Linked DNA regions of Callithrix jacchus. The main gene of each other region encodes a partner of the protein of the gene in region 2 in a complex. Links are inferred from orthologs where the notes say so. Each region holds a gene or a part of one and is shown on either strand. Other genes may lie near its edges. The genes, in order: WAPL and PDS5B.

Region 1 (3,812 bases), on a different chromosome or scaffold from region 2:
TTCTTAGGCCAACCAATTGTAGGACGTACTGTAGGGCCAATAAAGCGAAATCTTCCCAAGGAGCATCAAATTTTGATAAGCTGATGGACGGCACCAGTCAGGCCTTAGCCAAAGCAAACAGTGAATCGAGTAAAGATGGCCTGAATCAGGCAAAGAAAGGTGGTGTAAGTTGTGGGACCAGTTTTAGAGGGACAGTTGGACGGACTAGAGATTATACTGTTTTACATCCATCTTGCTTGTCAGTTTGTAATGTTACTATACAGGATACTATGGAACGCAGCATGGATGAATTCACTGCATCCACTCCTGCAGATTTGGGAGAAGCTGGTCGTCTCAGAAAAAAGGCAGATATTGCAACTTCTAAGACCACTACTAGATTTCGACCTAGTAATACTAAATCCAAAAAGGATGTTAAACTTGAATTTTTTGGTTTTGAAGATCATGAGACAGGAGGTGATGAAGGAGGTTCTGGAAGTTCTAATTACAAAATTAAATATTTTGGCTTTGATGATCTCAGTGAAAGCGAAGATGATGAAGATGAAGACTGTCAAGTGGAAAGAAAGACAAGCAAAAAAAGAACTAAAACGGCTCCATCACCCTCCTTGCAACCTCCCCCAGAAAGCAATGATAATTCCCAGGACAGTCAGTCTGGTACTAATAATGCAGGTAAGAATTTAAAAATATGTATAATAAGTACAGTAGTCCCCCCGTATCCACAGTTTCACTTTCTATGGTTTCAGTTATCCAAGGTCAACCACATTCTGGAAAGAGGTGAGTACAATATAAGAAGATAAAGTCCTCATTCACATAACTTTTATTATAGCATATTGTTATAATGATTCTGTTTTATTCTTATTGTTAATCTTTTACTGTGCTTGATTTATAAATTAAACTTTATCGTAGGTATGTATATGAAAAAACATAGTACATACAGGTTTTGGTGTATTATTCCATGGTTTCAGGCATCTACTAGGGACTGATATGTATCGCCTATTGATGGCAGGGGGACTACTTTAAGTGTGCTTTTCAGGCTTAAATCAACAGCTACATAGTTTCTTCCTAGATACTCAATTTTAGGTTGTTATGTTTGTTAAAAGTACCTGTTGAGAACCGCAGATTACCTTATTCAGAGGTACAGCATTTTAAGTGTTAATGATCAGGTCCCAGGTTGTAAGGAACCAATTTGTAAATTGGAGAGTGTTCATATTTGAGTTTTAATTTAACCTTTAGCACTTGAGAACTTTAAAGCATATAGGTATATGGGGCAGGGGCATTAGACATCATGATGTTTTCATTTTGACAAATCCAAATGCAGTGAAGACATAGGTTAGGTTTTGGACCTTTGGAACTATACTGATAACAGATGGTTATAATGAGGGAAAGAACAGATTAGAATTAAAAAACGCTTTGTGGTTGAATTAAAACTGATAAACATTCAAAATACCCTCAAACCCTCTTAAGTTGGTTCAGTAAAATTGAAGAGTGCCAGGTAAGTATGCATTCACTCTTAGCTGTGGAAATTTAATTTGTGGGAGATTGTAGACCCAGTGATGACGAAAGGTCCTCTAGGAGTTCAGTCTCCACTGTGAGAGAGAGACAAAAGAAATAGGTTAGCTCTACTATAATTAAGTCATTACCTTACAAGGACTTTATGAACTGGATTGACTGTCTAGTGAGGAAGAATTTGTGGAAGCCTCTGGGATACATGGTTTTTTAACCAAATACAGTTTTTCTGGATTGGTTTACATATTAAGTAAAGTTTTTGTCCTGATAGGGCCACAGAAGTGTCATTATGGTAAATTAGAATTATAATAGCATTTTAAAATAGAGATTCTCTTGTAGAGTATAAGTCATTCTTGAGATTATCTACCATTTTGCTTTATTTGGCCTAAAAATAATTTTGTTCAATTTATTCTTCAAAACTAGAAATACACAGGAGTACCCCTAGGGGCGCACCCCCTCCCCCAGAAAAAAAGGAATACATCCAGTGTTATCTTTGAATGCTTTCTGGATAATGGAAGTTTGCAGCAGCCTTACTGTATCTTGAGATCTGGCTGGGCAGAATAGCTAGACGTTTGGTTCCTCAGGAGAATGATAAATGCTGCTATACAATACCGGTGCCCTTGTCCTGCTACAGTTGACTTAGCTTTTATTCTGACTTGGATAGCAAGTTATCCTCGTCTGCAATTGAAAATCTGTGGCTGAAATTTACACATTGGGTAGTAAAACTTTTAAAGCTTTAAAATGTGGAATTAGACTCCTTTTGAGAAACTTAAAGTAGATAATAAATAACATTTGAAAATTAGAGGCCATTTGGTTGATCTACTGAAAGTTGAAATTTCAGTCTTCATACCATATATGAAGCAGCAAAAAATTTTAAGCATTGGGATAGAGAAAAGTCTTCCTATTTTCTTTTTTTTGTTTAGCTTAGATAAAGATACATATTTTTAACCAGTTGGGAAATAAGCTGATTGTTTGGTTAGTTGTGTTTGAAGACTGACAAACCATTAAACTTTGTTATATTAGGTCATTTAAAATCTCTTGCCAAGGATAACTGTCCTCCTTTTCTGGTGTTTTTTTTTGTTTTGTTTTGTTTTTTGAGACGGAGTTTCGCTGTTGTTACCCAGACTGGAGTGCAATGGCACGATCTCGGCTCACCACAACCTCTGCCTTCTGGGTTCAAGCAATTCTCCTGCCTCAGCCTCCCAAGTAGCTGGGACTACAGGTGTGCACCACCATGCCCAGCTAATTTTTGTATTTTTAGTAGAGATGGGGTTTCACCTTGTTGACCAGGATGGTCTCGATCTCTTGACCTCGTGATCCACCCACCTCGGCCTCCCAAAGTGCTGGGATAATAGGCATGAGCCACCGCACCCGGCCTTTTCTGGTGTTTTCAATGTGGCTTTTATAGTTGCCAACAGGCATTCTTTGAACGCTAACATGATTTAGTGGATTTAAAGTTCCTAAAAAAATGCTACAGGTGGGTACCACATGATGTTTTATATGTACGTAAACTAGACCTTTCCAGTGTCAGTATCCATAGATATCCAGCAGTTACGTGACTTCTCGAAAGTAAGAAAATTATTTTGGAAAAGATTTAATTTTGCCATTTAACATAAATTAGGACTAGAACACATAGACAGCAACCAGGTTTATGATTTCTCTTATGGAAGGGACAAGCAGGAAGGGAGAAGAATGGCAGAATGAAACTTCTTATTCTAGGGAGTATTCTGGGGAGCTCTGTGGTGCTCTGATTCCTTTATTCTTTAATTCCCATTTTCATTCATTCATATATATTTAATCTTCATGGGTTGTCTGGTAGGTAATTTGAAATGTTAGTAAGCTAGACAGTTTTGGTTACCATTTCAGAAAACTTGGATTTTACAGAGGACTTGCCTGGTGTGCCTGAAAGTGTGAAGAAACCCATAAATAAACAAGGAGATAAATCAAAAGAAAACACCAGAAAGATTTTTAGTGGCCCCAAACGGGTAAGTAAAGCATTATCAGTGATTTTTATTATTGATTTGTTATTGGAGGGCTCAACTCTTAATTTTTAATTTGAAAGTCACTAATAAACAGCAACTGTCTTTCAAAGGATATATGTAAGTCATTTTTTCAAATGTAACTGTATTTTTTAAATTGTGGTAAAATACACATATTTTTAAACCATTCTCAAGTGTACAAGTCAGTGGCATTACTTTCATGATGTTAATTATCTATACGCAAAACCTTTTTATCATATCCAACAAAAACTCTGTACCCATTACAATAACCCACCCCATGCCTAGTCAACACTATTCTACTCTATCTCT
Region 2 (4,540 bases):
AAGCTTCCAGGATCTCTAAAGGCTGTCCGAATGCCACGATGTGAATATGACTGTGATCTTAGATAAATCAATGAAATTACAATCTGAATTTAATTTCTCATGTATGAGTTGGAGATCATCAGTTAAATTTTCTTGTTGCTCTCTAACACTAACAGAGGAAACACAAATGTATTCTTTTCTAATATGTTATATACAATCCATGTCATTCAAGAGTCCATAAGCCAAATCACAGTGAGCACTACTCCTGTTAGTTCTAAGGCAGTCTCTAAGTTTTCCAAGAGAAATAAGCAGAAAGAATACAACTTCTCAAAATATTCCTTCCCCACAGTTTTGAGTACTTTCTACCATTGCATTCTTCTCCAGGGCAAGCCTGTCTAATACAGGGTACCACTTTATCTTAGGCCTAACAAATTACTGATAAAGCCTACTCCCCAAAATGTTACTTTGTTAAACAAAGCTGCAGAACAATTTAAACAGCTTTCATCCAACAGCCAGCTCAGTAGAACCTTATTACAAATAAGCTTAATACAAACATCTCATGACAAGAATCACTATCACGACATGTCTCTCTAATTTGGGAGGGCAGAAGGGGGAATTAGAGGGGGAGAGACATAACCTGAGAGAATAAAGGCGACAAGAGTAACAAAAGCTGCAGTAAAAGGAAAGTTAATATAGGAAGAATCAGACTCAACCAAAACAAAGAGAAAAGAAAAAAAAAAGGCCAAGACAAACATACCTTCCCATTTAAAATACACCTTGAAGTAAAAGCCACCTGAGGACAATTTTTTAAACCATCAGAAAAAAGCGGCAAAAGTCACTATTCTGGTAATTTTTATAAAGTCTAAAGTGCATTTTTTAAAATATATGTTTGTAAATGTATAATGTTCTTAAGATGTGTTTTACAGTTATATTTATGAGAATAAATCTATCTTAACATAAAAGGTCCCATGTAACTTTCACCTACATATTCACCACTATATACATTTTAATAGGTTTTCTATCACCATGAGATACAAGATTAATTGTTCCACAAACTGACCTGCATACACCCGTGAATACTCATCTTATTGTCCCTAAAGATGGAAACATCTCTGACATGTATGCTGCATAAAGAGCTGTCTTTCAAGTGCATGTCTGTGGTTTTTAACTACTTTACCTGACCACTACAGGAGTTAAAAAACGTTCTGTCTGGGAACTCTGTCTGGATGTGTTAACTGAGAACAATGACTTACTGCCATTCAAGCATTAGGTAATTACAATTTATTTACAGCTCGCCTCCAGTATGTAAACACAACTTTAGTTTTTAAAGTTTATTAGGATGATACAGGATTACCCAACTCTGCACAGCGGAAACCAACCCTCTAAATTTAGGCTATAACCAAAGTTTCTGAAACTATTTAATCAACAAGGTAGGATCAGTCGGGGCACCACTGCCCGTCCATCACCTCATAATAAAAGTACGAGAAGCACTTTCTTCGACATAAAAAAGGGTTGACCCTTGCTAGGGAAGCGACATAAAAAAGGGTTGACCCTTGCTAGGGAAGAGAGAATGCTGAAGACGCAAGTGGAGTGGGTGCGTAGCTGCTCTTTCAGCCCTTCCCGGAGCTCACCCAGTCCGCGGCAAGGAACGCAGCAGCCTGCAGTTCCGAAGACGAGGGGCGGCGTTTCAGGGTCCAGTCATTCCTCCAAATAACTGTCGAGCTACTTAGAGTTAGCTTTCACGTCTCTACCAAAAACCAACAGCAGCACCAGCGACAACAGCAAACAAGGTTTTTCCCTAAACTGTAACTTTTAAAGTGGCAATAAAATAACAGTGAAAAAACACTAACGAGTCACAATCGCACACCATTTTCCCCGCCGTTCCTTCCGAAAGGAAAGCTAGAACCCAGTTGTCGCCTGGGAGGAGTCCCTCCACGCCAGCGCTGAGCTCTTCCTCAACTGGGTCCTCAGGTTCCCGGAGCACCCGCTCAGGGCGGCGCGGTGAGCGCGATTTCCCTGCGGCGAGTGGCGAGGAACCGTGTAAAAATGTCACGCTCAGCCCGTTCCCTGGCCCGGAGCGGAGGCCGGGCGGCGCGCCGGGACCAGGCGGCGGGGGCGAGGGTGCCCGCGGCCCCGACCCACGTTCCCCGCCCGCCCCTCGCCCGGAAGGGGGAGAAGCCCGCCCGCGGGAGGATTCAACAGGAGCACCGCGCCGCCCGCCTGCCGCCCGGGAAACAGCCGCCGGCCGCCCGGCCGGGGCGCGGGGGGAGGGGCGCGGCGGCGGCGAGAGGGCGCGGGCGGCCGGTCAGCCCCGGGACCCCCGCCCGCGCGCAAGGTCACCGCCCGCCGCCGCCGCCCCGGCCGGGATCAGGGCGGCAAGTTTAATTTCCAGAGGCTGCCGCAAAGCCCGCGGCGTGGAGGCGCGAGCCGGCGCGGGGCCCTCCCCACCCCCACCGCTCAGCCTGGCCCGCACCCCGCGACCCCCGCCCCGGGCCGCCGTCAGGCAGCTGCCCGCTGCAGCCCCCGATGCCGGGAGGCGAGTCGCGCCTGGCAGCCCGGCGGGCGGCGCTTCATCCCCGCCACAGAGACACACACACACACACACACAGACACACACACACACAGCGGCGGTGGCGGCCGCTGAAAAATGGAGCGCCGCGGCCTGAGAGAAGAGACATTTTCTTTCCGTTAACTGAATTGTTTCCTACCTCCGGGTGCCCGAATCGCTACTCCTCTCACTCCGCGGCTCTCCGGGATCCACCGCCGCCGCCGCATCCAATCGCCTTCTCCCCCCCCTCCCCTTCCGCAGCCAGCCCGGCCGTTCCTCCTCCTCTCCGCTTCAAAATGGCGCCAAGCGCTCTTCGGCAGCTGCTCCAATCGAACCGCGGCGGACAGCACCCGGGGGCAGCCAGAGCGCGCCATAGGTGCGCAGCGCCCCCTGCCGACCAGATGGCCCCGCGCGCGCCCGCCCTCCGAGCTCCGCCCCGCCCCGTCCGCGCGCGCGCGCACGCCCCTCCTCAGCCCCGCCCCGTCCGCGCGCACGCAGCCACACGGGCACGCCGCCCGGGGGCCGCGAGACGGGCTGCTGTCAAGGCGTCCACTGCCCCTGCGGCTTCCTAGACCTCTACCGAAAAAAAAACACACCGATTGTTATGTAGCTCCATCTTTTTAGAAAAAGGGTGGGAGATTTTTTTAAACACTAACATTCCGCACTGATGTGCTGGGTAAACAGACTTGGAATTAATTACTTTGCTCCTTGTTAACTCTGCCTTCTTCTCGGAATGCCATACAAATAGTGTTCCTACACTTTACTTGCTACGTCTTTATTAAATCTCCCAACTTTCCTAATTTGAGATATTGTATATAGGTGGTAGGCTGGGAGGACACACAGTAATCAGCCTGTGACGAAGCATACCATTCCTTTGGCAGAATTGTCCTCATTAGAGGAAGAAATCATCTGGAGACCACAGGGACACATTGCAGGAATTGGGTCTCCTCCCCCTTTACCTCCAGGAGATGGCAGTCCCTCCTGCAGCTGTAGTGGGCTTAGCCCGGTCACCTACCTTGGGGGAAGGTTTCCTCCCCAGCCAGGTTTCTGCCAGAGCTAAAAAAGGGACTGCCTCCTCTTTTTACTTTAGTACCATCCCTGCAGTAAGGAAGTTTCTCCTGATAAGATGTATATGGTTACTAGGATTTTGTTCCAGGGAGAATTTGTTTCAACAATGAACAAGCAAAGAGTGAATGAATGGATTACCGTAGGATATTTATCAACTGAAACAAAAGATAGGTAATGCTGATGTATAAACTATTGTTACTGTGTTAGAAAAGCTATGTCCTGGCCGGGCTCGGTGACTCACGCCTGTAATCCCAGCACTTTGGGAGGCCGAGGCGGGTGGATCACGAGGTCAAGAGATGAAGACCATCCTGGTCAACATGGTGAAACCCCGTCTCTACTAAAAATACAAAAAATTAGCTGGGCACGGTGGCGCGTGCCTGTAGTCCCAGCTACTCAGGAGGGTGAGGCAGGAGAATTGCCTGAACCCAGGGGACGGAGGTTGCGGTGAGCCGAGATCGCGCCATTGCACTCCAGCCTGGGTAACAAGAGCGAAACTACTCCGTCTCCAAAAAAAAAGAAAAAGAAAAAAAGGTGTGTCCATTGGTATTCCATCGGGCCAGGGCACCTAGTGTTACTGAGACCTCTTCATTTCCGTGTTTGTGAGATCCCCTGGACAATTCCGCTTCAGTCTCCGCCAGTGCTTGTTAGACCAGTATATTTACAGTATGCATTACATTATCCAAGATTTGGCCACTGAATACTCCAGGTGCTACCCATTTTATACATTCCTTAATGAAGTCTACTGAGTTTTTTCTGCCCTCTTTTTAGAATTATCTCAGGAATTTTCTTATTTTACATTGTTGTTCCACCAACATAAATCTTGCACGGAAGAAGAGAGCAGGATATCTAGGCCTAGAAAAACCTTTCCTGACTCTTTTGTTGTTTTTATTATCTTTTTTACTTTATTTTCTTCATTTCCCAAACTTCCAAAGCCAGGGAGCAAGA

What was found.
Region 1: the proteins of PDS5B (region 2) and WAPL are in contact, whole or in part, in a crystal structure (PDB 5HDT), measured with the Homo sapiens proteins. The link is inferred for Callithrix jacchus from reciprocal best matches to the Homo sapiens genes PDS5B and WAPL. Residues at the interface, in NP_055847.1 of Homo sapiens: Gln47, Phe88, Ala92, Pro93, Ala95, Trp137, Val138, Lys139, Ser140, Asn142, Ile143, Phe145, Glu146, Glu187, Gly188, Asp189; in NP_055860.1 of Homo sapiens: Lys7, Thr8, Tyr9, Ser10, Arg11.

What each region holds. Positions count from the first base shown.
Region 1 is NC_133513.1:43,534,768-43,538,579, forward strand, and holds part of WAPL (wings apart-like protein homolog), read left to right. Parts: coding exon 1-666; intron 667-3,369; coding exon of another isoform or gene 3,370-3,387; coding exon 3,388-3,488; intron 3,489-3,812. UniProt on the Homo sapiens protein: Regulator of sister chromatid cohesion in mitosis which negatively regulates cohesin association with chromatin. Involved in both sister chromatid cohesion during interphase and sister-chromatid resolution during early stages of mitosis.
Region 2 is NC_133506.1:151,836,770-151,841,309, reverse strand, and holds the start of PDS5B (sister chromatid cohesion protein PDS5 homolog B), read right to left. Parts: upstream 2,829-4,540; 5' UTR 2,688-2,828; intron 2,242-2,687; exon of another isoform or gene 1,847-2,241; intron 1,789-1,846; 5' UTR 1,611-1,788; intron 1-1,610. UniProt on the Homo sapiens protein: Regulator of sister chromatid cohesion in mitosis which may stabilize cohesin complex association with chromatin. May couple sister chromatid cohesion during mitosis to DNA replication.